4 linked regions of the Saccharomyces cerevisiae S288C genome follow. Changing the gene in region 1 together with any one later gene gives a genetic interaction. Each region holds a gene or a part of one and is shown in the gene's direction. Other genes may lie near its edges.

Region 1 (5,633 bases):
CTTATGGGAGTTATTCCTTCCTGGCTGCCGGTCAATGCGTCGAAGTTCATAATTTCGATATACTATTGAACGTTTCGTCATTAGAAATATGTCACGCCTTATTGCCCGTGATAATACCAGATGACGGAGATGTAAGAAACTTCCGCAATTCATCATATGTGAAATTTAAGGATACACAGTTCAACAGCATACCTGAACTATGTTCTATCAACTTTATGAAGATTTGTAACTTCATGCATCAAGATTTTCTACTAGCTTGCGGTGACAACGGAATCGTTTATATCTGGGAAATCAACAAAGTTATTAAGATATTTAATAAATTTACTTCGGATATCTTGGGAGGCAAAGATAACAGCCGGGAAAGATACATAAATGTTGATCCATATATGGTGTTAAGAGTAGAGGAATCTTGTTGGAGTGTTGATGTAATAGATATAAATGGCATCATATATATCGCTGTTGGCCATAACAAGCCTGGAGTTACAGTCTTTGCATTCGATAAAGATGTAAAGAAGGAAAGACGGTACATTCGGCCTCTAGATCTTCCCTCATCTCACAATGTTCCTTGTGTTAACTTTGTTCCTAATTCAAAAGATTCTGTTGGATATATTACATTAAGTTATTGTTCTATATTTGGGAATGTTGTTACCGTTAAATTAAAGGAGCATGATTGTACCATTTTAACGAGTTTCCTTGATACTCAATTTTTTGGCGACGACTTATGGACAATAACTCCACTGACTAAGAAGGATTTTGCGAAAGTTGACAATTTCGAATTGTTGAATCTTAACTACCAAGACGGTTTCAAAGAAAGCATGTTATATTCTATTTGCCGAGATGATTTTTTACTTGGGTATTACTGTGATAACGCCTACCTCTCTGGGAATTTCGGTATTGGTACATTACTCAATCAATTTCAGGTTCCTGTCACAGACCTACGACTGACTTCTTCAGCAGGGATCCCCGATGAAGTTATACCATTAAGATTTACCTCATTTGATAGAAATTACACTACAACGGGCTCGATAAAATACGAGTACAGCAGAGAGGATTTTGCACTTATTTTACATGCCGGTGACTTAGACGATATGAATGATGCAGTGACAAAAAACACCTCATGTGAACAGCATTTACACCAATGGACATTTTGGGAGGATTCTGGTTATAAACATTATCGTGCTACTGAGCGTGGATTTTCGAAATACAAGGATATTATTAATACTTTTCCACAGTTGATAACTCCTAGTGGAAGAAATAAAACATCGCAATATCAAAACACTTCTGGGAGAAAGATCTGTGAGCCGTCTACTTATAAACTTACTGATCTCGAAAATGATATTGAAGATATATCTCGCGAATTTAATAGAAGTATTCGTAATTTGAAAATGGATAAACAAAGACAACTACGAACTTCAAAAGAGTTCAAATCGCTAAGTTCAGTAAATCATATACCAAATATTGAATCGGGAAACTTTTTATGGTACAACACCGATGCCGCTGCCGATTGGAGAACACTTTTTGGCAAGGATTTGAACACGGTCTTGAAGGACCCAGAAATTTGTAGCCTTCAACTGAACTCTACAGAAGAGGACGATGTCAATAGCGACCCTGAAAATGAAGAATCTGGTAGCAGCTTAACAAGTTTCCAGCGAAGATATAGGGATACTGAACAGCGTGCTCACTTGAAATCAGAATCGCAGAAATCTTGGGGGTTCCACAACTATGTAAGAAACGTCAAGCGGTTATTAGAGTCAGCAGTACCGGGCTCAGAAGATTCGCCTCTTGGGTATCAACTATCCGAAATGCACGACGAGTTCTTCTTCCTAACCACAGCCCATAGGCTGGTGTTGATGAAAGCAAATCCACTCATAATTATATCAGCAACTCATCATGAGATTTTTCCCTTAGATGGTGTTGTGACGTGTGCTTCCAAGTCGCTGCTCCAAGCACTAAACAGAATAAATTTTGTGTGTCACATCAAAGAACTAAATTGCATAGCCGTGGCTTCACAATTGGGTCTCATTTCATTACTAAGACTAACAGAGTACAGAGGCATCTATTCGTTTAGACAAGAGTATATTCTTGGATGGGAAGTCCAAGACCCTGTTAACCCTAGTCCAGAGTGCAGATGTAACAGGAACTTGTTTGACGCACCAATGTATGGTGCAGATGGAGAGAGCTCGGACACATACTGCGGCGTGTGCGACGTCTATTTCCCCATGGGTGATATTTGCGGACTAGATTACACTTATGCATCTGACAGTGAAGAGTTAAAACGTAAGGGATATGCTACCTTATACGTAGCATCAAGAGGCTCCTTGAGGGCATTCAAGATCACAACTGAGCATGGAACAACTCAACAATAGCATATTTTGACATTTACATAGCCATCTATATAATAATCCTTCCTTCATTGAAATGCGCGAATGACTCAGACGAGCAATATCACGTGTTGCGATTTTACTTTCAGTTTGCAAAGAAGAAACCATGCCACATATAAAGAACGTTTGCACTTCTCTTTAATTTATTAGTTAGTAAGTAAGAAGTTTAAAGACAACTCAGAAGACATCAGCACTTTACTATGGCATTGGAAAGAGAATTATTGGTTGCAACTCAAGCTGTACGAAAGGCGTCTTTATTGACTAAGAGAATTCAATCTGAAGTGATTTCTCACAAGGACTCCACTACTATTACCAAGAATGATAATTCTCCAGTAACCACAGGTGATTATGCTGCACAAACGATCATCATAAATGCTATCAAGAGCAATTTTCCTGATGATAAGGTAGTTGGTGAAGAATCCTCATCAGGATTGAGCGACGCATTCGTCTCAGGAATTTTAAACGAAATAAAAGCCAATGACGAAGTTTATAACAAGAATTATAAAAAGGATGATTTTCTGTTTACAAACGATCAGTTTCCGCTAAAATCTTTGGAGGACGTCAGGCAAATCATCGATTTCGGCAATTACGAAGGTGGTAGAAAAGGAAGATTTTGGTGTTTGGATCCTATTGACGGAACCAAGGGGTTTTTAAGAGGTGAACAGTTTGCAGTATGTCTGGCCTTAATTGTGGACGGTGTTGTTCAGCTTGGTTGTATTGGATGCCCCAACTTAGTTTTAAGTTCTTATGGGGCCCAAGATTTGAAAGGCCATGAGTCATTTGGTTATATCTTTCGTGCTGTTAGAGGTTTAGGTGCCTTCTATTCTCCATCTTCAGATGCAGAGTCATGGACCAAAATCCACGTTAGACACTTAAAAGACACTAAAGACATGATTACTTTAGAGGGAGTTGAAAAGGGACACTCCTCTCATGATGAACAAACTGCTATCAAAAACAAACTAAATATATCCAAATCTTTGCACTTGGATTCTCAAGCCAAGTACTGTTTGTTAGCATTGGGCTTAGCAGACGTATATTTACGTCTGCCTATCAAACTTTCTTACCAAGAAAAGATCTGGGACCATGCTGCAGGCAACGTTATTGTCCATGAAGCTGGAGGTATCCATACAGATGCCATGGAAGATGTTCCTCTAGACTTCGGTAACGGTAGAACGCTAGCTACGAAGGGAGTTATAGCGTCAAGTGGCCCACGCGAGTTACATGACTTGGTGGTGTCTACATCATGCGATGTCATTCAGTCAAGAAACGCCTAAATAACATATATTTTACTTTATTGATAGACATAAATATATGAGTACATATATATATGTGTGTATGTGTATGTACATACCAGTTAAATGATAACCTTTTTTTATTGTTGTTATAGCGTGAAAAAAGGAAAATACAGTGAAAAGAACAAAACTGAAGAGGTAAGAGTAGGCTAACAAAGAAGAAAAGTGAGACAAGAAAATACAGCAGGATTCTGACCGAATGAACAAAACGAATTGGAAGGTATCTGTAACTACATTCAATTGTGGTAAGGAATTTCCCGTTGAAAATTCGAAAGCAATCGTTAAGCAATTGCTTTTCCCCTACGATGACGGCATCTCCCAATTGGAATTGCAAGATCTATATGTGTTGGGGTTCCAAGAAGTAGTCCCCATATGGCAAGGCTCCTTCCCTGCTGTTAATCGTGATTTAATCGATAGAATTACAACTACTGCGGTTAATTGTCTGAATGAAAAAGTGTCAGCTACACAAGGGGATGAGCAGTATTCATGTTTAGGGGTGAATAGTCTTGGGGCGATTACCATAATAGTATTATACAATAATAATGCGCTAAAGGTAAAAGATGATATTTTGAAACGGAATGGGAAATGCGGTTGGTTTGGTACACACTTGAAAGGTGGAACTTTGATAAGTTTTCAGATGACACGCAATGGCGAGGAGAACTGGGAAAGATTTAGCTATATTTGTGCTCATTTAAATGCAAATGAAGGTGTCAACAATAGAAATCAAAGAATAGATGATTACAAACGAATAATGAGTGAAGTGTGTGATTCTGAGGTTGCAAAAAGCGACCACTTTTTCTTTCTAGGCGATTTGAATTTTAGGGTTACTAGTACTTATGATCCAACTACCAATTATTCGTCCACCACAACGTTAAGGCGTCTATTAGAAAATCATGAAGAACTAAATCTGCTACGTAAAGGAGAGGATGAACCGTTATGCAAAGGTTTTCAGGAGCTGAAGATAACATTTCCACCGACATACAAATTCAAGTTGTTTGAAAAGGAAACATATAATACAAAAAGAATCCCGTCGTGGTGCGATAGGATTCTCTACAAAAGCTATGCAGTGCCAACTTTCGCACAAGAAGGTACTTACCATTCCGTCCCTAGGTCCAATGCTCTATTATTTAGCGATCATCAACCCGTTAATCTTACCGTAAGATTACCAAGGTCTACAGGGACGCCAGTGCCGTTATCCTTACATATCGAAAAGTATCCTTTATCATGGAGCTCTGGCCTGATTGGACAAATTGGTGACGCAGTCATCGGGTACTGCGGTTGGCTAGTTACTAAGAATGTACATTATTGGATATTAGGTTCTTTACTATTATATTTACTATTAAAAATCCTGTAAAGTGATCTGGGCTGTCAGGCTAGAAGTTTTTCATTTATGTCTGAAACAGATAACGTCAGTTGTACCACTATCTTTGGTTTTATTCTTTTTATTTTCTCTTCCATATATCTTTACAGAACTTAAGTAATAATGAAAAAGAATGAAAAAAAAAAAAAAAAAAGAAAAACTAGTCAAAATTATTGCCATGAAAAAACAGGAAGAAGAGAGAGAAGAACATTAAAAAAAAAACTATCAATATTAGATTAACAAACCAATCAAAATGGAGGACTCTAATAATGAAGCCAGCGATGACTTCAACAACTTATTAAACAAAGAAATTGAGTCTGCAAAGGAAGTGAAGTTAAGAAAATTCGCGAACAGGAATAATAATAGGAACGAAAACAGTTCCAAAGTCAAAGATGCGAGTGGATTCAGACTGAGAGTTATTCAAACCGATGGGCACAAAACTAAAAAGACAGACCCTGATTATGAAGTGACAATTGATGGACCCTTAAGGAAGATTGAGCCTTATTTTTTCACTTATAAAACTTTCTGTAAGGAGAGGTGGAGAGATCGTAAGTTGGTGGATGTATTCGTGAGCGAATTCAGGGATCGAGAGCCCAGCTA
Region 2 (5,366 bases), on another chromosome or scaffold:
TTTTTGTCAAACGCTCTGAGTAATAGAATATACATGCGACAACATTTGTAGTTACTTGTCTTACGCTTCCTAGGGAACGGATCATCCGAGTAGAATATCATTTTACGGGATCACTTTATTCGGTGTGATTGCTCGTTAAGCCGCACGACCATTTTATGGGCACGCTTCCGCAAGTTGGTTCTTTCATCAGAAGCTTTACCACGATTGGCAAGTCATGTAGCATGTGCGCTAACATCGTTTATCGTTTTCTGTGACGTGGCTTATGAGCACCAGAGACGAATAATCAACAGTACATCAAACAAAAGCTACGTCACCTCACCAATAATCCGAGCTTCTTGAAATGGCAGGTATTGGATTCATAAAATATGTCGCTGCTTTGTGCATTTTCCTTTAGTTTTTTCCTTTTTTTTCATGTAGCTAACTAAGCAAGACGATTATGGGAAGGGACCTTTTAAGGAAAAACAGGAAAAAAAAATAGTAGCAACTAGTAAAAATTCAAAAAATAAAAAAAGTCAAAATAAGAACACATCAGTTAGGAACCGTGCTTGGAGTTTTGAGACTGGAGTATTGTCCATCCAACATATTCTGCTCTTTCACCATAGACTTCGTTGGAAATCGCCTCTCCCTTGTACTATATTGTGCAGAACCGTTCCCGCAATTTTCATTGGTGCAATAATAACACGCTTCTTCGATTCTCACATTTGTCAAGAAGCTGTACTCTTCTCTCAAACTCCAATATATTTCAAATTATGAACGAGCTGAACACTGTTTCGACTAACTCCAGTGACTCCACCAAGAACGGTGGTACATCCAATAGTCCCGACGATATGGACTCCGCAGCAGCAGCAAGTCACGCAATAAAGAAAAGAACAAAGGCCTCCCGGGCCTGCGATCAGTGTCGTAAAAAGAAGATTAAATGTGACTACAAAGATGAAAAGGGGGTCTGCTCAAACTGCCAAAGGAATGGAGACCGTTGTAGTTTTGATAGGGTTCCTTTGAAAAGGGGACCCTCGAAAGGCTATACGAGGAGCACCAGCCATCCAAGGACTAACGAAATACAAGACCACAATAACTCAAGGTCGTATAATACGTTTGATAATAGTAACAATACCCTGAATAATAATACGGGCAATAGCGGCGACAACGGTATAAACAGTAACACAGTTCCAAGTACCCCTTCGAGATCTAATTCAGTTTTATTGCCCCCACTGACACAGTACATTCCCCAGGCTGGTGGCATTCCTCCTAGTTTCCAAAATCCAGCGATACAATCAACTATGCCCGCGGGTAATATTGGCCAACAGCAGTTTTGGAAAGTGCCCTACCATGAGTTTCAACACCAAAGAAAAGGATCTATCGATTCTTTGCAAAGTGATATATCGGTAAGAACATTAAATCCCAACGAGCAGTTGTCTTATAACACCGTTCAACAGTCTCCCATAACGAATAAACATACTAATGATTCTGGAAATGCAAACGGAAGTGTCACCGGCTCAGGCAGTGCCTCTGGTAGTGGTGGTTATTGGTCCTTTATAAGAACTTCTGGTTTACTAGCTCCTACTGATGATCATAATGGGGAACAGACAAGAAGATCAAGTTCCATACCTTCTTTGCTACGAAATACTTCAAATTCTCTTTTACTAGGTGGCCAGCCTCAGCTTCCCCCACCTCAGCAACAATCGCAGCCACAAGCACACCAACAAAAGTTGCAACAAGGACAGAACCTATACTCGTATTCTCAATTTTCCCAGCAGCAACCGTACAACCCATCGATATCATCTTTTGGCCAGTTCGCTGCTAATGGTTTTCATTCTAGACAAGGATCAGTCGCCAGCGAGGCTATGTCTCCCAGTGCACCTGCCATGTTTACTAGCACATCTACAAACCCCGTAAATGTTGCACAGCAAACACAAAGACCTCAAGGACAGCAGGTACCGCAATTTTCATCTGAGTTGGATGGAAATAAAAGGCGACAATCAGCCCCCGTATCAGTAACATTATCCACGGACAGGCTGAATGGTAATGAGAATAATAATGGTGAAATTAACAACAATAATGGCAGCAATAATAGCGGTTCTTCTAAGGATACATCTCAACATTCCCAAGAATCTGTAACTACACCAGCGGCTTTGGAAGCATCCAGCCCTGGATCAACGCCACAGAGAAGTACAAAAAAACGCAGAAAAAGTTACGTATCTAAGAAGACAAAACCAAAGAGAGATTCATCTATATCTATAACATCGAAAGATTCTGCTCACCCAATGACCACTTCATCAACTATCGCGTATGGACAGATATCCGATGTAGATCTAATAGACACCTACTATGAGTTCATACATGTAGGATTTCCGATCATACCTTTAAACAAAACGACCTTGACCAGTGACTTATTGTTAGTTAACACACAGCCAATTTCCAATATACACGAAGTCAATTCATATGTTATTTTGTGGTTTAGAAATTCATTGGAATTGTTAGTTCGTGTTGCTCTGAAACAAAAGCCAGGTGGCAAGTTTTTCGATAATATTGTTGGCGTGGCTTTGTCGCCAAGTAATGACAACAACAAAGCTGGGTTCACTACAGCCACGGCAAGGGATGATGCTGAAAAAACAAGACGTGATTCACATAATGAAGTACAGGATACTTTGGAAGTGCAAAGCGTTTTTATTGCCGCCCTCAATGAATGTTTCCAAAAAATCGTGGATATTCATCCCAAATTCAGAGAAAACAACGACCAAATTTCGCCGAAGATCAAAGTCATTTATTTATCTACTTTTATTCTTTTAAATTACATTTTGGCATTTGTTGGATACGATAACTCATTTGTACTTGGAATGTCGGTGACAATTTTTAACGAATTTAAATTATACAAACTTCTATTATTTCCGGAGCCGGATATAAATGATGTGAAGCCTCCAGTTGATGAAGAGGTCAGCACTGGTAATGGGAATACAAAAACGTCCGAATTTGAAATTGGATCTGAAAGTGCTGGGCATATGAATCCATCCAATTCACCAAATTCCATGGACGAAAACATTAGTCACTATTCAGTGTTGTTTAAAAGATTATACGTTTTGCTTTCAGTGTTTGATTCTTTACAAAGCTGTGCATTCGGTGGTCCCAAGCTATTAAACATTTCCATCCAAGGTTCTACAGAAAGATTTTTTTCTAATGATTTGGGCTCAAAATGGTGCCTGGAACAAAGCCAATTGAGACTGAAAAGCGTCTTGCAAAGCTTGAAATTGGGTGAATTGATGAGTGAGCTTACCAGGAATAGAATATCAATGAACGGCAATAGGAAGCCTGGGTTCGATATTACGAACTCGTCTTCACTCTTATCGGAATATGTGGAAACTCAACCTCTATCCGTAGCACAGTTATTTTGCAAGCTATTAATTGGCAAACACAATTTCATCAATTGCTTATTATCATTATACGATTCAGAAGCAGGAGTCTATTCAGATTTGACATTGGATTTGAGTTCGAAAATAGCAGACTCTCTGTGCTCATTGATATCAATAATTTTGCAAGTATTGACGTTGATATTAAGACTGAATCCTACGAACAGTATTGATTTTAATTATAGACCACCGAACCCACCCGCTAATAATCCGACAGTGCAAGAGGGCCCATCTGCTATGGGCTCGTCTCCAGTCGCTGGGAACCTTAGCGCTGCACCTCCATCGGAGGGGAATCCAGATTTTTACAAGAAATTACTAGGCCTGAAACAAGACACTGGCACTATCCTTTCAGACCTTTGCCGGGGGATAATTTCCCCCTTTGCTATTGCTATCCTGCACGAGGTCTACAACATCACTGAACTGGTCAAGCAGATGCCTACATCACTCATTAGCATTATGATGACGGCAACTACAACGCAGAATACTCAGGACACCAAGAAGTCGCAGGACCTGGTCATGAAGCTGTCAAACTCGATGAATGAAGTAGTTCAAATCACCAGCGTGCTGACAATGATCAAGCCATTCAAGATCTTCGAGCACGAGCTTAATAAGCCCATAATGTCCCTGACAGGAGGACTTTCGTCCACGACCAGAAACGACGTCATGTGGCCAAAGTCGGGCCAAGGCCTCCGCGAGTCATCAGTCATGAAGACATTGCTTGATGAACGCCGTACTTCTGGTACACAACCGACAACGGCGCCAGTAGCCGCAGAGGAACCCAGGCTTGAGAACGTTGCCCTGGAAAATTTCGTTAGTATCGGCTGGAAGCTGTTGGACGATTCCGAGTTAGGCTGGTATTGACAGGTAACTATGCTCCCTTCTCCTGTAGGTCAGGTTCTCCCTTCTCCTCAGGCAGAAATTCGCGTAAAGAACTACCATGCAATGAATGACCAATTTAAGTAAAACACATAAATAATACTTACTTACACATATACACACTAGCTGTTTTAACCTGTAACAATACTGCCTTGTCAGAGTGCGCACGGCCTTTTACTCTGGTGCTCCACCATCTTCCACGGTATTCGAGAGTCGCCAAGCTCAGGGGCGCATGCAGACAATGGGCGGGGAGCACCTTCTTCTTTCACAGCTAAAGGGGTCTTTCTTTCTCCTACTTTTGGCATACTTTTTCAGGGGCAGAAGTCCTTATTACGCACGTTGCTACCGCCGGCTTGCTGTTACACCTGGTGCCATCACTATTGCCATTGCCATTGCTACAGATTCAATTCCGGCGCTTGCAAAGTCCAAAGTTCTGGTGTCGGTTTGTTCTCACACAGATCCCTGTACAGCGTCTTGTAACCTGATCCCCTTCCCCCGCCCCTTCTCGAACAGCCTGACGCGCTTCCTCTTTTGTTTGGGCTCGGCCCGTTTTTGCATTTCCTTTCCCTGTTTTGGATTGAGTATATAAATCTAAACAAACAACAAAGTTCTTCCAGCAGGTACCATGAGATTGAAGTTACGGTTTTAGGAGTTGGAGATTCAATTTCTGGTTCTTTCCACATCAGCAACGTTAAAAGGCCTAGTCCTCTTCCGATTATATAATATAACTTCCACAGCAAGTGTACCATAACATAATAATGTCCACTAAGAAGCACACCAAAACACATTCCACTTATGCATTCGAGAGCAACACAAACAGCGTTGCTGCCTCACAAATGAGAAACGCCTTAAACAAGTTGGCGGACTCTAGTAAACTTGACGATGCTGCTCGCGCTAAGTTTGAGAACGAACTGGATTCGTTTTTCACGCTTTTCAGGAGATATTTGGTAGAGAAGTCTTCTAGAACCACCTTGGAATGGGACAAGATCAAGTCTCCCAACCCGGATGAAGTGGTTAAGTATGAAATTATTTCTCAGCAGCCCGAGAATGTCTCAAACCTTTCCAAATTGGCTGTTTTGAAGTTGAACG
Region 3 (5,897 bases), on another chromosome or scaffold:
AGAACGAAAGAATGGACAAGAATATTGTTCATGAAGATGATAATACGAGGTTTTTATATGTTTTGTTTGCTGTCGTCACAAGAGATTGATGTTGCTTATTTTGCTATAACAGCACCATTTTACATAACCTGGATAAGTAATATTTCAAGCCTTCTGCTAGTTGAATAATTCGTATATTTCATAGTTCATAAGCCATCCAATTCGAATTGAGCTCATTGCATCATAGCCAAAAATCGATAAATGCATTAACGCTGTTACCTCCAGGTGATTGCTGTCTTTATGCATTAACGCGCCAATCTTATTCCCTTAAAACATTACGCCGGCAAAACGCTTAATCGCATATCCCAGTTGGCCCGAAAGAGAATGCACATATACAAATATATATGTAAAGGGAAATACCTTGTGACTACACCTATGCCTAAGTTTCAGTATCTGAACTAGGATAATTTCGATTATAACTCTAACATTTTTTACGTTTTCTCCATATTTCGAATTGTTCCTTCTTCAATCAAAATAATAAAAAAAAAAAATCACAAAAATGACTATAGTATTTTGAGCCCAACATGACTGCGAAATTGCTATTAACAATGATTAGTCAGTAGTATTGAATAACTTAGAATTTAAAACTACCTTATACAAGATGGGCATATAAAGGACATGCCAAATGGACATATTAAATACGCTCGATGTACCAGAACATCCAGGAACTTACCATAGAAAAATATGTAACGACTTATAAACTTTAAATAAATTAGAGATTCAATGAATCTCTAATTTTTTCCGCCCGCCTATTGAACTTTTACTTTGTCATTAATCTATTCTGAAATAGGTACAGAGCGACGCCAGTGTAAACATATGTGTGATGGACATCAGCATTCAATGTATATCTTATCACACCAGTTTATCCAAAGATAGATGCAGTTTTGAAATTGGTTACTTAGAATATTTCTACTACATTTCGATAACAAATATAACTATTTTGAATTTAAAAGTTGAGTATCCAAAAATTTTAGAAATACATACAATTACTTCCCAATTACTTCCCAAATATTCTCCCCCCTGGTTTGATATCATAAAAGCACCTTATGGCAACAAGATTCCCGGGATAGTAATGCTATTTTAATGTATATCTATTTCTCGAATACTTGTATCTTTACTCCACTACCCCTATGCAAGAAGATAAGCGATAGTTTTTGTTCCTTCCTCTTCCTACTCTGTTAATTAACTGAAAATTATTTATATTGAAAAGGTACTTGTAGCAAATTAGACAAGGAATTCTCCTGGTATAAAGTTAGAGAAACAGAAATATGAAACGGCCACCCCAGGTATGAAATATTATCTTAAGAAGAGCCATGAACACACATGAATAGATTCTTGAGACATGCTTAGGGTAACAAAGACTGTAACGCCTTGTTGCAATACTGCTTTATTCAAATTTTTAAATTGTACGGAATTGTGGTAAGGAGAATGTGCAAATAACTTAGCATGAAACGGTGCTATAGTTGAATCATTGTATGAGGTAACATCACTTCAACGAAAAGAAGAATAAAATTGACCTGCACATGGAGAAAGCGTAATATATAAAAAATGTTTACAATTTTGGCGCACTATATGGGAGAACAGCTGCTGGATAATATTATGCCCTTACTTCATTTCACCATATCCGTTTACAGTTCAAATCTCGCCGTCGAGCCATAAATTCTCAAAATTCCTTTGCAAATATTTTGCTTACCTGTAACCGGCAGCTTACATTCTTCCGTCATAATTTCTCAGACGGATGACATAAACCATTTTTTCAGAATCCTCGATAACATAATCGATCAAAACAGTAATAAACATTCTCTTGCACAAAATGGACTTTGGCAGCAAATCCTGAAATATTGTGGAGTATTGCCAGAGGTAAAAGCAACGTTGAACAAATTATGACACTAGACCTCTTAGGCATAAAGATGACATCATCTAGGTACTCGTAAAGATCCTAACCACAGATTCCACCTTAAAAGACGACAATAGTAACTTTGTCCTTGATCTGGGTTACTAAATCAGCGATATGATCATTAAAGTGAATATCCCCTTCTTAAAATGTACCAAATATCTTATACGTTTGCAGTTTTTCTTTTTCTTTTTCTTTATTTCTTTGGTAAGGACTAGGTAATTATTTCCGTATTTGGCTCCTTTGGCGCTTAAAAAATCTTGTACGCAAATTTCCACAAGATATTGCGTGACAATTACTATTACTGAAGTTGAACTTGTTTCATGTCTCCGCCTGTGTTAACTCCGTTTTGCTTAACTCCGTCTCGTATTACAGTAAATTCATGATGTGCCTATGAATATGCAGCTAGCCTGCTGCAGGCAAAATTATTTTTAGCTTTGTGCGCTACAGTGGTAGTAACTTAAAACTTAAAAGCTAAAATGCAAAAACAGTAGAGTGCGGGGTATGCTTTTCTTTTGAACGTGCACTGCGCAGAGGCACAATTTAGCAAAGAAGTCAGGCAAGGTAGATGATGTAAACAAACGAGGACTTGTACTGCGCATCTTGAACCTTTCAATATCATAAGTGCAATCAGCTAAAGGTTTGATTTTCCGAATGCTCTGCAAAAAAGTTAAACATGGTTATATAACTCAAGTATGATAACTCCAGTGTTGGCCTGTAATCACCAACTTTCAAACGTATAAAGAAAGTAAGTAATTCATTGTTTGCTTCAGGTTTAGTCTTATTACTATCCATAGAAGTAAAACTATTGATATTATTGACAGAAAAGGAGGAAAGGAAACTAAAGGAAAAAAATGGCAAGCGAACAGTCCTCACCAGAAATTAATGCAGATAATCTAAACAGTAGTGCAGCTGACGTTCATGTACAGCCACCCGGAGAGAAAGAATGGTCAGACGGGTTTTATGACAAAGAAGTCATTAATGGAAATACGCCAGACGCACCGAAGAGAGGCTTTTTAGGTTACCTTATTATCTACTTACTATGCTATCCTGTATCCTTTGGCGGTTTTTTACCTGGTTGGGATAGTGGTATTACTGCAGGCTTCATCAATATGGATAACTTTAAAATGAATTTTGGTTCTTACAAGCACAGTACTGGTGAGTATTATTTGAGCAACGTGCGTATGGGTCTTCTCGTGGCCATGTTCAGTGTAGGATGTTCCATTGGCGGTGTTGCTTTTGCGAGACTTGCTGATACTTTAGGTAGAAGGCTAGCAATTGTAATCGTGGTTTTGGTATATATGGTTGGTGCAATTATTCAGATCAGTTCGAATCACAAATGGTACCAATACTTTGTCGGTAAGATCATCTACGGTCTTGGTGCTGGTGGCTGTTCGGTGTTGTGTCCAATGCTTTTATCTGAAATAGCCCCCACAGATTTGAGAGGTGGACTTGTCTCATTGTACCAACTTAACATGACCTTCGGTATTTTCTTGGGTTATTGTAGCGTTTATGGAACAAGGAAGTATAGTAATACTGCGCAATGGAGGATTCCTGTGGGACTATGCTTTCTGTGGGCTCTAATTATCATCGTTGGCATGTTATTAGTTCCAGAGTCCCCAAGATATCTGATTGAATGTGAGAGACATGAAGAGGCCTGTGTCTCCATCGCCAAGATCAACAAGGTTTCACCAGAGGATCCATGGGTACTCAAACAGGCTGATGAAATCAACGCCGGTGTCCTTGCCCAAAGAGAACTAGGGGAAGCCTCATGGAAAGAACTTTTCTCCGTCAAAACAAAAGTCCTTCAACGTTTGATCACAGGTATTCTTGTGCAAACCTTTTTGCAACTTACTGGTGAAAACTACTTCTTCTTCTACGGAACTACCATTTTCAAATCAGTTGGGCTTACTGATGGGTTTGAGACTTCGATCGTCCTAGGTACAGTGAATTTCTTCTCCACTATTATTGCTGTTATGGTCGTAGACAAAATAGGCCGTCGTAAATGTCTGTTATTCGGAGCGGCTTCAATGATGGCTTGTATGGTCATATTTGCAAGTATCGGGGTAAAATGTCTTTACCCTCATGGCCAGGATGGTCCATCCTCGAAAGGTGCAGGTAATGCCATGATTGTGTTCACATGCTTCTATATATTCTGCTTTGCAACGACATGGGCCCCTGTTGCTTATATTGTGGTTGCCGAGTCATTCCCTTCGAAGGTCAAATCTAAAGCAATGTCAATTTCGACTGCATTCAACTGGTTATGGCAATTCTTGATTGGTTTTTTCACACCATTCATTACTGGGTCTATCCACTTCTATTATGGTTATGTGTTCGTAGGTTGTTTGGTTGCTATGTTTTTGTACGTTTTCTTCTTTTTACCAGAAACAATTGGTCTATCTTTGGAGGAAATCCAGTTACTATATGAAGAAGGTATAAAACCATGGAAATCTGCATCTTGGGTACCACCCTCAAGGAGAGGAGCTTCTTCCAGGGAAACTGAGGCTAAGAAGAAAAGCTGGAAAGAAGTTTTGAAGTTCCCAAAGAGTTTTAATTGATCAATATGCGCGCTTGATAAACATGCTAAGAGATAAATTCTTGAAAAAAAATAGGGCCTACTGTAAAACGAAGTGACACGTAATTTCAAATTTAATCAACAAAAAACTACGAGTTTCTTTGCAAACTCCCTTTTTCGGACTACTAGTACTATATAAAATAACGAGTTATTTAGTGAAAGAAAGCGTTTGGTTAAGGCAACATTGTACGAAGTTCTGTTTCTTTAAGGCAAAGCAGAGTATAAAAAGTAGGATGCTTATGGAGTGAAAACGGAGTGGTGATGAAGATGGGGAAGTCAACATAGGTCCACTTGAGTGCTTATGGAAGATCCTTAAAAATGCATTTCCAGGAACGTAACACTGTACCATTCCTCTAAATAAAGTGTATACAATAATATAGAAATATAGATTCTTCCCAAATATTCAGTTGTTACTATAAAGGGAATATTTGAGCTCGTTATTAGCGTGGCCGCACAAACAACCATCATATTAGAAGAGATAACTTTGTTTCAACTCGGGGGGGCAAACTTTCTCATGCTTCGTTAACTTGGCAAATACAACAAGCATACTTTTTGCGGTGAAAACATTTTGAGGCATGTTTCCACACAACATAATAGCGAATGGAGTAAGATTTTTTTTGTAATACAGTAAAAAGACCTCATATAGGTACCCGTACAAAGTCTCTGACCTCTCTGGGTGACCTGGGTCATTAGTAGTTCAAGGAGCATCTGCCACTAAAAGATTTGTGACCTAACTGTGGTAGTAACCGTTAAAGACACGGTATTGAAACAATGGGTTCAAAACAGTCGAGGGTTTTAGCATTTAAGTCGGCATATGTCCATTTCTATCCTTTTTCCAAGTCTATTGAGTTTCTTTATCTTTTTACTTATTTCCTTTTTGAAAGGTCTTACGACAAAGTTCAAAGCTTGATGAATTGTCTATTACTTTATTTGCTAAATTGAAACTCTGGATGAGTACCAATTCTTCTTTTCATTTTGCGATAATTGACATTATGATTTTTCAACTAATTAACATGATATTGTACATAATTTTTTAATATCAAAGCGCTACGTCCACTGAAACTATAGAACCGTTCATCTGTCGAATCAACATCTCTACAATTAGTACGAAAGCTTAGTTTATCAATTTTTTGTGAAAACTTTGACTAATGACGTATTATTGTGGTGTGCATTACGACCAAAAGGCGGGCTAACAATTCCAAGGAAAAAAGCTGGTGTAAACCTGACTGTTTGCCACGGCTTTTCTTACTACTAAATCGGTAGCAGGCATGAAGGAATCGTGAATGGTGTGACCTGAGACAAGGAGAGGCAGGCATGAAGGCAAACAAATTACGGGGGAAGGCACAGGAGATACCCCCACTAAAGATTACCCCACAATCCCTTATTTTC
Region 4 (6,115 bases), on another chromosome or scaffold:
TCGATTCCGGTTGCGTCCATATTTTTAACATTTCATTTTTTTTGGGTTTAAATTTATTTTCAAACATTATTAATTGATTTCTTTAAAAACTTATACAACGTATGCTAATACTTTAAACTAAACCTTTTAGAACTATAATAAAACTATTTCAAGTAAAGTCTTTTTATCTGATATCTTGATTCATTTATAATAAAATTAAGTGACTATAGAATAGTGCAAGTGGAAGCGTTTTTCTTCTTTTTCTTTTGTTGTGAAGTAGCGCTAATTCCTGTCCTGTTGCTAGAACCAGATTTCGGAACGGCATGTGACGGTTTGTGCTTTTCATTAACCGGAGTAGATTGTTTAACTTTAGCTTGTCCTTGTGAAGATTTGTTATATAAACCTTTTGATGATTGCTTATTGTTTGATTGTTTCGTATCCTGTTTCGCAGAACTAGGGAGCCTGGTTGATGGAGACTCGATTTTGCTAAATTGTTGACTTTGATTTCTTGCGTCTTTAACTGCAACACTTTCCATTTCATTCCGAATGATTTGCCTAACTAAATCAACGAACACTTCATCCACATTGCTCCTCAACAAAGCGCTTGTTTCATAAAAGGGAACTCTACCCCATTTACTGCTTACCTCTATACCTTCTTCCACACTTATTACCCTTTCATTGATTAGATCAGCCTTGTTACCTATTAGAACCATTGGAACGCGATCGGAATCTTTGATCCTAAGGACCTGTTCTCTTAGCTCCATTAATTCTTCCAAAGATTGCCGATCTGTTACTGAATATACCAACAGGAACCCCATTCCTGACTTTATGTATAATTCTCTCATTGCAGTAAATTGTGCTATACCCGCTGTATCTAAAATTTCCAGGTCGAATACCTTGTTATCGATCTCGATGGTTTTCCTGTAAGAATCTTCGATCGTTGGATCATACGTATCCAAATAAACTCCCTGTACAAACTGCACGGTTAAGCAGGATTTACCGACACCACCAGCACCCAATACTACTAATTTATAGTCTCTCATTAGTCCTAATGTTTCCTAGCCAAATATTTCTAAGCGATGATAGAAGCCAAAATATTAGAACGTTGTATGTAAATGTTCTATATCGTTACTAAATAATAGTATTATTGTTCAGTGGAGAGGATGAAATTTCAAAAACTTCTTGGCGTAGTTAAGAACGAACGCAATGGTTCTTTTTTTCGAGATCGAGCTCTACTTTACTTTTTTCTTTTTCTGTCCTTCTCTCTTTTCTTTTTAACCTTTTTCGACGATATTTCGCGTTTGAGAATGTCGAGGATGAATGCGCTTTGACGCGAATTAGTTGTGAGGCTGACGTTGTGATAAAAAGGCGATGATTCTTGGGAATATACAGTCTGTTTCCACTTGCTAGATAAAATGTATGATATTCCAAAAATGCCTTTCTCTATTGAACTGTATGACTGAGATACGCCTGCTTTTACCTTGTATATTATGAGTACTATTCGCCTTTTCCCATAAAGTTGTTTTTTTCTGGGGTTTATGTGTATCGTAAATGGTACAAAATAATAAAATTCTTATCTTGAAAATACTGTTTAATACTTTTCATCATTACTAAATAGGTTACGAAAAGAGGTCTTTGAGAAATGGGAAAGGCCTGTTTGAATAAAGAAGTCGGCACTTACGAATGTGAGGGGGAAAGAGATACCTACTCATTTTTTACCTCTCTCTCAGATATACAGGATTCAAGTAGTAACGAGGAACAATGCGGTGTAGGAAGTATATTGAGTGAAGATAGTTTCACGTTTGAAGGGTCCAACGTGAGCATACGGTTATTTTCCTTGGACTTAAATGCCTTGAATGAAAATGAGAATGGATCCAAGAATCCTGTGAAATTTACCATTCCGCCAAAAATAGAACAAAGAAAGGAAGCAAGACAAAGAGAGAAACGTTTAAGGAGGGTGGCAGTACTACCTGAGAATTCGAGAAACTACCTTGTTGAATCAAGTATGGATTCAAGTAGGGAATACAGTCAACCATTTTTTGACTGGAGGCATGAAATGGTAGAACATGGAGAGGAGAGTGTAAAACCGTGTGGTTGTCATAAATCGAGAAAAGCAAAATGCTTCAAAGAACTGGAGATGGAGAATATAGAAAAGGGCGATATAAAGAAGAGTCTCTTTTACAGAGACATAATTGAATGGTGCAGAGACTATGAAGTCAATAAAACTAGGGAAGTCTGTGTTCCGTCTATACACGAGTTTTACCTACATGGAAATGGAAGTGACAACCTCTTTTGAAGTATAGCCATGCATATAAATATATGTGTGTGTAAGAAAATATTAGAAGTTTTCATAATCTAGAAATGTCAGGCTTTGGGCCTAATGGCACTATACCAAACTGATTGATCTTGTTCCTACTTACTTCCATCCTGATGTAAAAGAGCTTAATATGATTAAAATCTGTAGTAAATCTAAACTCTGCGTAATTCCAGTATAGATTAATCAACCACAAATGAAGGTACGGGAAACCATCCCTTATAGTTTTCAAATTGCATTTGAAGTGCTGCACGTACACGACGTCAAATCTAATTATTGATGGATACAATCTGATATCCGCTTCAGTTAACCTCTGTCCTAAAACAAAATATTTAGCCAAGATTTTCTGTTTGTTACCACTGAATTGCTCCTCTAAGCGCTTATAATTTTCTTTTAGTACACATTCCATCTTCTGCAAGTTTTCAAACAGTGTTTTTACTTCAGTTTCGTAAATCTTTCCGTTTTCTGCTAATCCGACTTTATAGACACCAAGATTAATCTTCGGATGAACCCATTTGATGTTCTTATCAATCTCGTCTATTAAATCATGCGGAACTAGATCAATCACGTTCGTTTCTTCGCTTTGGATAAATTCATCAAACACGCCACTGTTCAAAATTCTTATGATATCGCCACTCTCATTGTTAACAATTTTCCTTGTTTTAGAATCCCACAGAACAGGCACAGTGAACTTTGTACCGGGGTACTTAGGATCATTTAAGTAGTACAACTCGCTTAACCTTGATATATTTTCCACCGGGTCGAAAGCGCCATCCACGAACAACCTTGCAGAGTCATTGTTCACATCACCTAACTCCTCAGATTCGTCTAATTTAGCTGAAGCAATGCCACCAGTGGCAGTAAAGAATCTCTCTTTATATTTTTCCGGCCGGTGTGGAGCAGGTAAGAAACGGGCACCCTTGGAGTCTAATTGCCAGTGAGATAACACAAGCCCTAGAACAGGTTCTAATTTCTTCAAAGACCTGGCAAGAATGGCTCTATGAGTGAATGGACACCCAAGGGCCCCGTAAATATAATACCTTCCTTTTTCTGGTTTAAAAACAGAATGTGTCTTAGAAATTGTTCCCTTGTAAGATACTGACATGGCTTACTGTTTATGATTATTTTTACGAGTATTTTCCTCTATAAGTGGCCATCTCTCCAATTGGCAAAGTCAAGACTTTTGTTATGTCAATATGTGCTACCAAAAATCAAGGGTATTTTCCCACCAGAGCTTATCAATGGCAACTGTGAGATATGAACAGCAGTTAGTAAGGGTGTGTTCTCATCCGACCCTCTGATTCATTTGGTGGCCATTACATTTTCCCTCAATGACACATTCCCCTATTTCATAACTGATTAAAATGGTAATGGCACGTGATAGTAGTGGCTCACAAAACAAAATTTTCTTTCTCAGCGCTGACAAAGCTTCATTTGCATTCTAACCTTATCACAACAACTTCAACTTCACCCAAGTAAGGATAATCAGCTCTGTCGTGACTGATAAATGCTATATCCGGCATATGCAGTCCACACGGCATTACCGTTTCACTAATTTATTGCCATCTTCCTCCACAGTTTTGCACCGAAAGGAAAAAAAGAAACCAACACCGAAAATTTTTTTCTCCTAAAGGTTAAAGTAAACGCAAGGCACTTCACCAGGCTTGTATATATAAATGTCGTGATGCTTCTATGCCAAAGTAAAAGGCAACACTTGAAGATTTCGTTGTAGGCCACTTGCTCAAAGGACATCTAGATAAATACGACGTAAGAATAAAAATGACTAAATCTGAGCAGCAAGCCGATTCAAGACATAACGTTATCGACTTAGTTGGTAACACCCCATTGATCGCACTGAAAAAATTGCCTAAGGCTTTGGGTATCAAACCACAAATTTATGCTAAGCTGGAACTATACAATCCAGGTGGTTCCATCAAAGACAGAATTGCCAAGTCTATGGTGGAAGAAGCTGAAGCTTCCGGTAGAATTCATCCTTCCAGATCTACTCTGATCGAACCTACTTCTGGTAACACCGGTATCGGTCTAGCTTTAATCGGCGCCATCAAAGGTTACAGAACTATCATCACCTTGCCGGAAAAAATGTCTAACGAGAAAGTTTCTGTCCTAAAGGCTCTGGGTGCTGAAATCATCAGAACTCCAACTGCTGCTGCCTGGGATTCTCCAGAATCACATATTGGTGTTGCTAAGAAGTTGGAAAAAGAGATTCCTGGTGCTGTTATACTTGACCAATATAACAATATGATGAACCCAGAAGCTCATTACTTTGGTACTGGTCGCGAAATCCAAAGACAGCTAGAAGACTTGAATTTATTTGATAATCTACGCGCTGTTGTTGCTGGTGCTGGTACTGGTGGGACTATTAGCGGTATTTCCAAGTACTTGAAAGAACAGAATGATAAGATCCAAATCGTTGGTGCTGACCCATTCGGTTCAATTTTAGCCCAACCTGAAAACTTGAATAAGACTGATATCACTGACTACAAAGTTGAGGGTATTGGTTATGATTTTGTTCCTCAGGTTTTGGACAGAAAATTAATTGATGTTTGGTATAAGACAGACGACAAGCCTTCTTTCAAATACGCCAGACAATTGATTTCTAACGAAGGTGTCTTGGTGGGTGGTTCTTCCGGTTCTGCCTTCACTGCGGTTGTGAAATACTGTGAAGACCACCCTGAACTGACTGAAGATGATGTCATTGTTGCCATATTCCCAGATTCCATCAGGTCGTACCTAACCAAATTCGTCGATGACGAATGGTTGAAAAAGAACAATTTGTGGGATGATGACGTGTTGGCCCGTTTTGACTCTTCAAAGCTGGAGGCTTCGACGACAAAATACGCTGATGTGTTTGGTAACGCTACTGTAAAGGATCTTCACTTGAAACCGGTTGTTTCCGTTAAGGAAACCGCTAAGGTCACTGATGTTATCAAGATATTAAAAGACAATGGCTTTGACCAATTGCCTGTGTTGACTGAAGACGGCAAGTTGTCTGGTTTAGTTACTCTCTCTGAGCTTCTAAGAAAACTATCAATCAATAATTCAAACAACGACAACACTATAAAGGGTAAATACTTGGACTTCAAGAAATTAAACAATTTCAATGATGTTTCCTCTTACAACGAAAATAAATCCGGTAAGAAGAAGTTTATTAAATTCGATGAAAACTCAAAGCTATCTGACTTGAATCGTTTCTTTGAAAAAAACTCATCTGCCGTTATCACTGATGGCTTGAAACCAATCCATATCGTTACTAAGATGGATTTACTGAGCTACTTAGCATAAATAAGAACCCACGCTTCAAATAAAAGCAAACATAGAAGCAAAATCCGTCATTCCTTTCCTATTCAATTGCACCGTTCTCTTTATATAACTACTTAATTAAATAGCGCCTATACGAAGCAGCATTGTTCTATTATTTTTACAAATTCCTTATCATGCATGCATCACATCAGTGTTTGAATCTGTTAACTTTTCACTTTATTGCTCTTACCCGACTCTGAAGAAAAACAAAAAAACAGCGACATGTTGGAAAGGTCGGGCAGTAAAGCAGAATTTCAGAAATACTAGTACGATTGTTTGAGGTCTTGCGAAACCGTGCATTCATAATAGCACCTTTTTCAGTCGCTCATCCGGTCGTCCTATCTGTAAACGTCACTGTCAAACACGTTGCATTGATTAGATTTTATTATTTTATATATAGGTATATTTAGAAAACTCACAACTGGAGAAGACGAAGAACGAAGAACGAAGGAAAAAAATTGATGACAGATCCCAGAAGAAGAACAGGCCGTCATTTCTTGA

What was found.
Region 2: mutations in MET22 (region 1) and AIM26 together harm fitness more than expected from each alone (negative genetic interaction), as found in Saccharomyces cerevisiae (one large-scale study listed by BioGRID).
Region 3: mutations in MET22 (region 1) and HXT15 together harm fitness more than expected from each alone (negative genetic interaction), as found in Saccharomyces cerevisiae (one large-scale study listed by BioGRID).
Region 4: mutations in MET22 (region 1) and CYS4 together harm fitness more than expected from each alone (negative genetic interaction), as found in Saccharomyces cerevisiae (3 studies listed by BioGRID).

What each region holds. Positions count from the first base shown.
Region 1 is NC_001147.6:204,125-209,757, reverse strand, and holds MET22 (3'(2'),5'-bisphosphate nucleotidase), read left to right. Parts: upstream 1-2,581; coding exon 2,582-3,655; downstream 3,656-5,633. Other genes in the region: CRT10 (Crt10p), read left to right, coding at 1-2,366; phosphoinositide 5-phosphatase INP54, read left to right, coding at 3,873-5,027; bifunctional DRAP deaminase/tRNA pseudouridine synthase RIB2, read left to right, coding at 5,287-5,633. UniProt on the Saccharomyces cerevisiae protein: Phosphatase that converts adenosine 3'-phosphate 5'-phosphosulfate (PAPS) to adenosine 5'-phosphosulfate (APS) and 3'(2')-phosphoadenosine 5'-phosphate (PAP) to AMP. May regulate the flux of sulfur in the sulfur-activation pathway by converting PAPS to APS.
Region 2 is NC_001143.9:364,856-370,221, forward strand, and holds AIM26 (Aim26p), read left to right. Parts: upstream 1-4,509; coding exon 4,510-4,866; downstream 4,867-5,366. Other genes in the region: RGT1 (Rgt1p), read left to right, coding at 750-4,262; UGP1 (UTP glucose-1-phosphate uridylyltransferase), read left to right, coding at 5,036-5,366. UniProt on the Saccharomyces cerevisiae protein: Involved in selective mitochondria autophagy (mitophagy).
Region 3 is NC_001136.10:10,251-16,147, reverse strand, and holds HXT15 (hexose transporter HXT15), read left to right. Parts: upstream 1-2,787; coding exon 2,788-4,491; downstream 4,492-5,897. UniProt on the Saccharomyces cerevisiae protein: Probable glucose transporter.
Region 4 is NC_001139.9:794,471-800,585, forward strand, and holds CYS4 (cystathionine beta-synthase CYS4), read left to right. Parts: upstream 1-4,072; coding exon 4,073-5,596; downstream 5,597-6,115. Other genes in the region: Ras family GTPase RSR1, read right to left, coding at 204-1,022; YGR153W (uncharacterized protein), read left to right, coding at 1,622-2,275; GTO1 (omega-class glutathione transferase), read right to left, coding at 2,328-3,398; cleavage polyadenylation factor subunit PTI1, read left to right, coding at 6,076-6,115.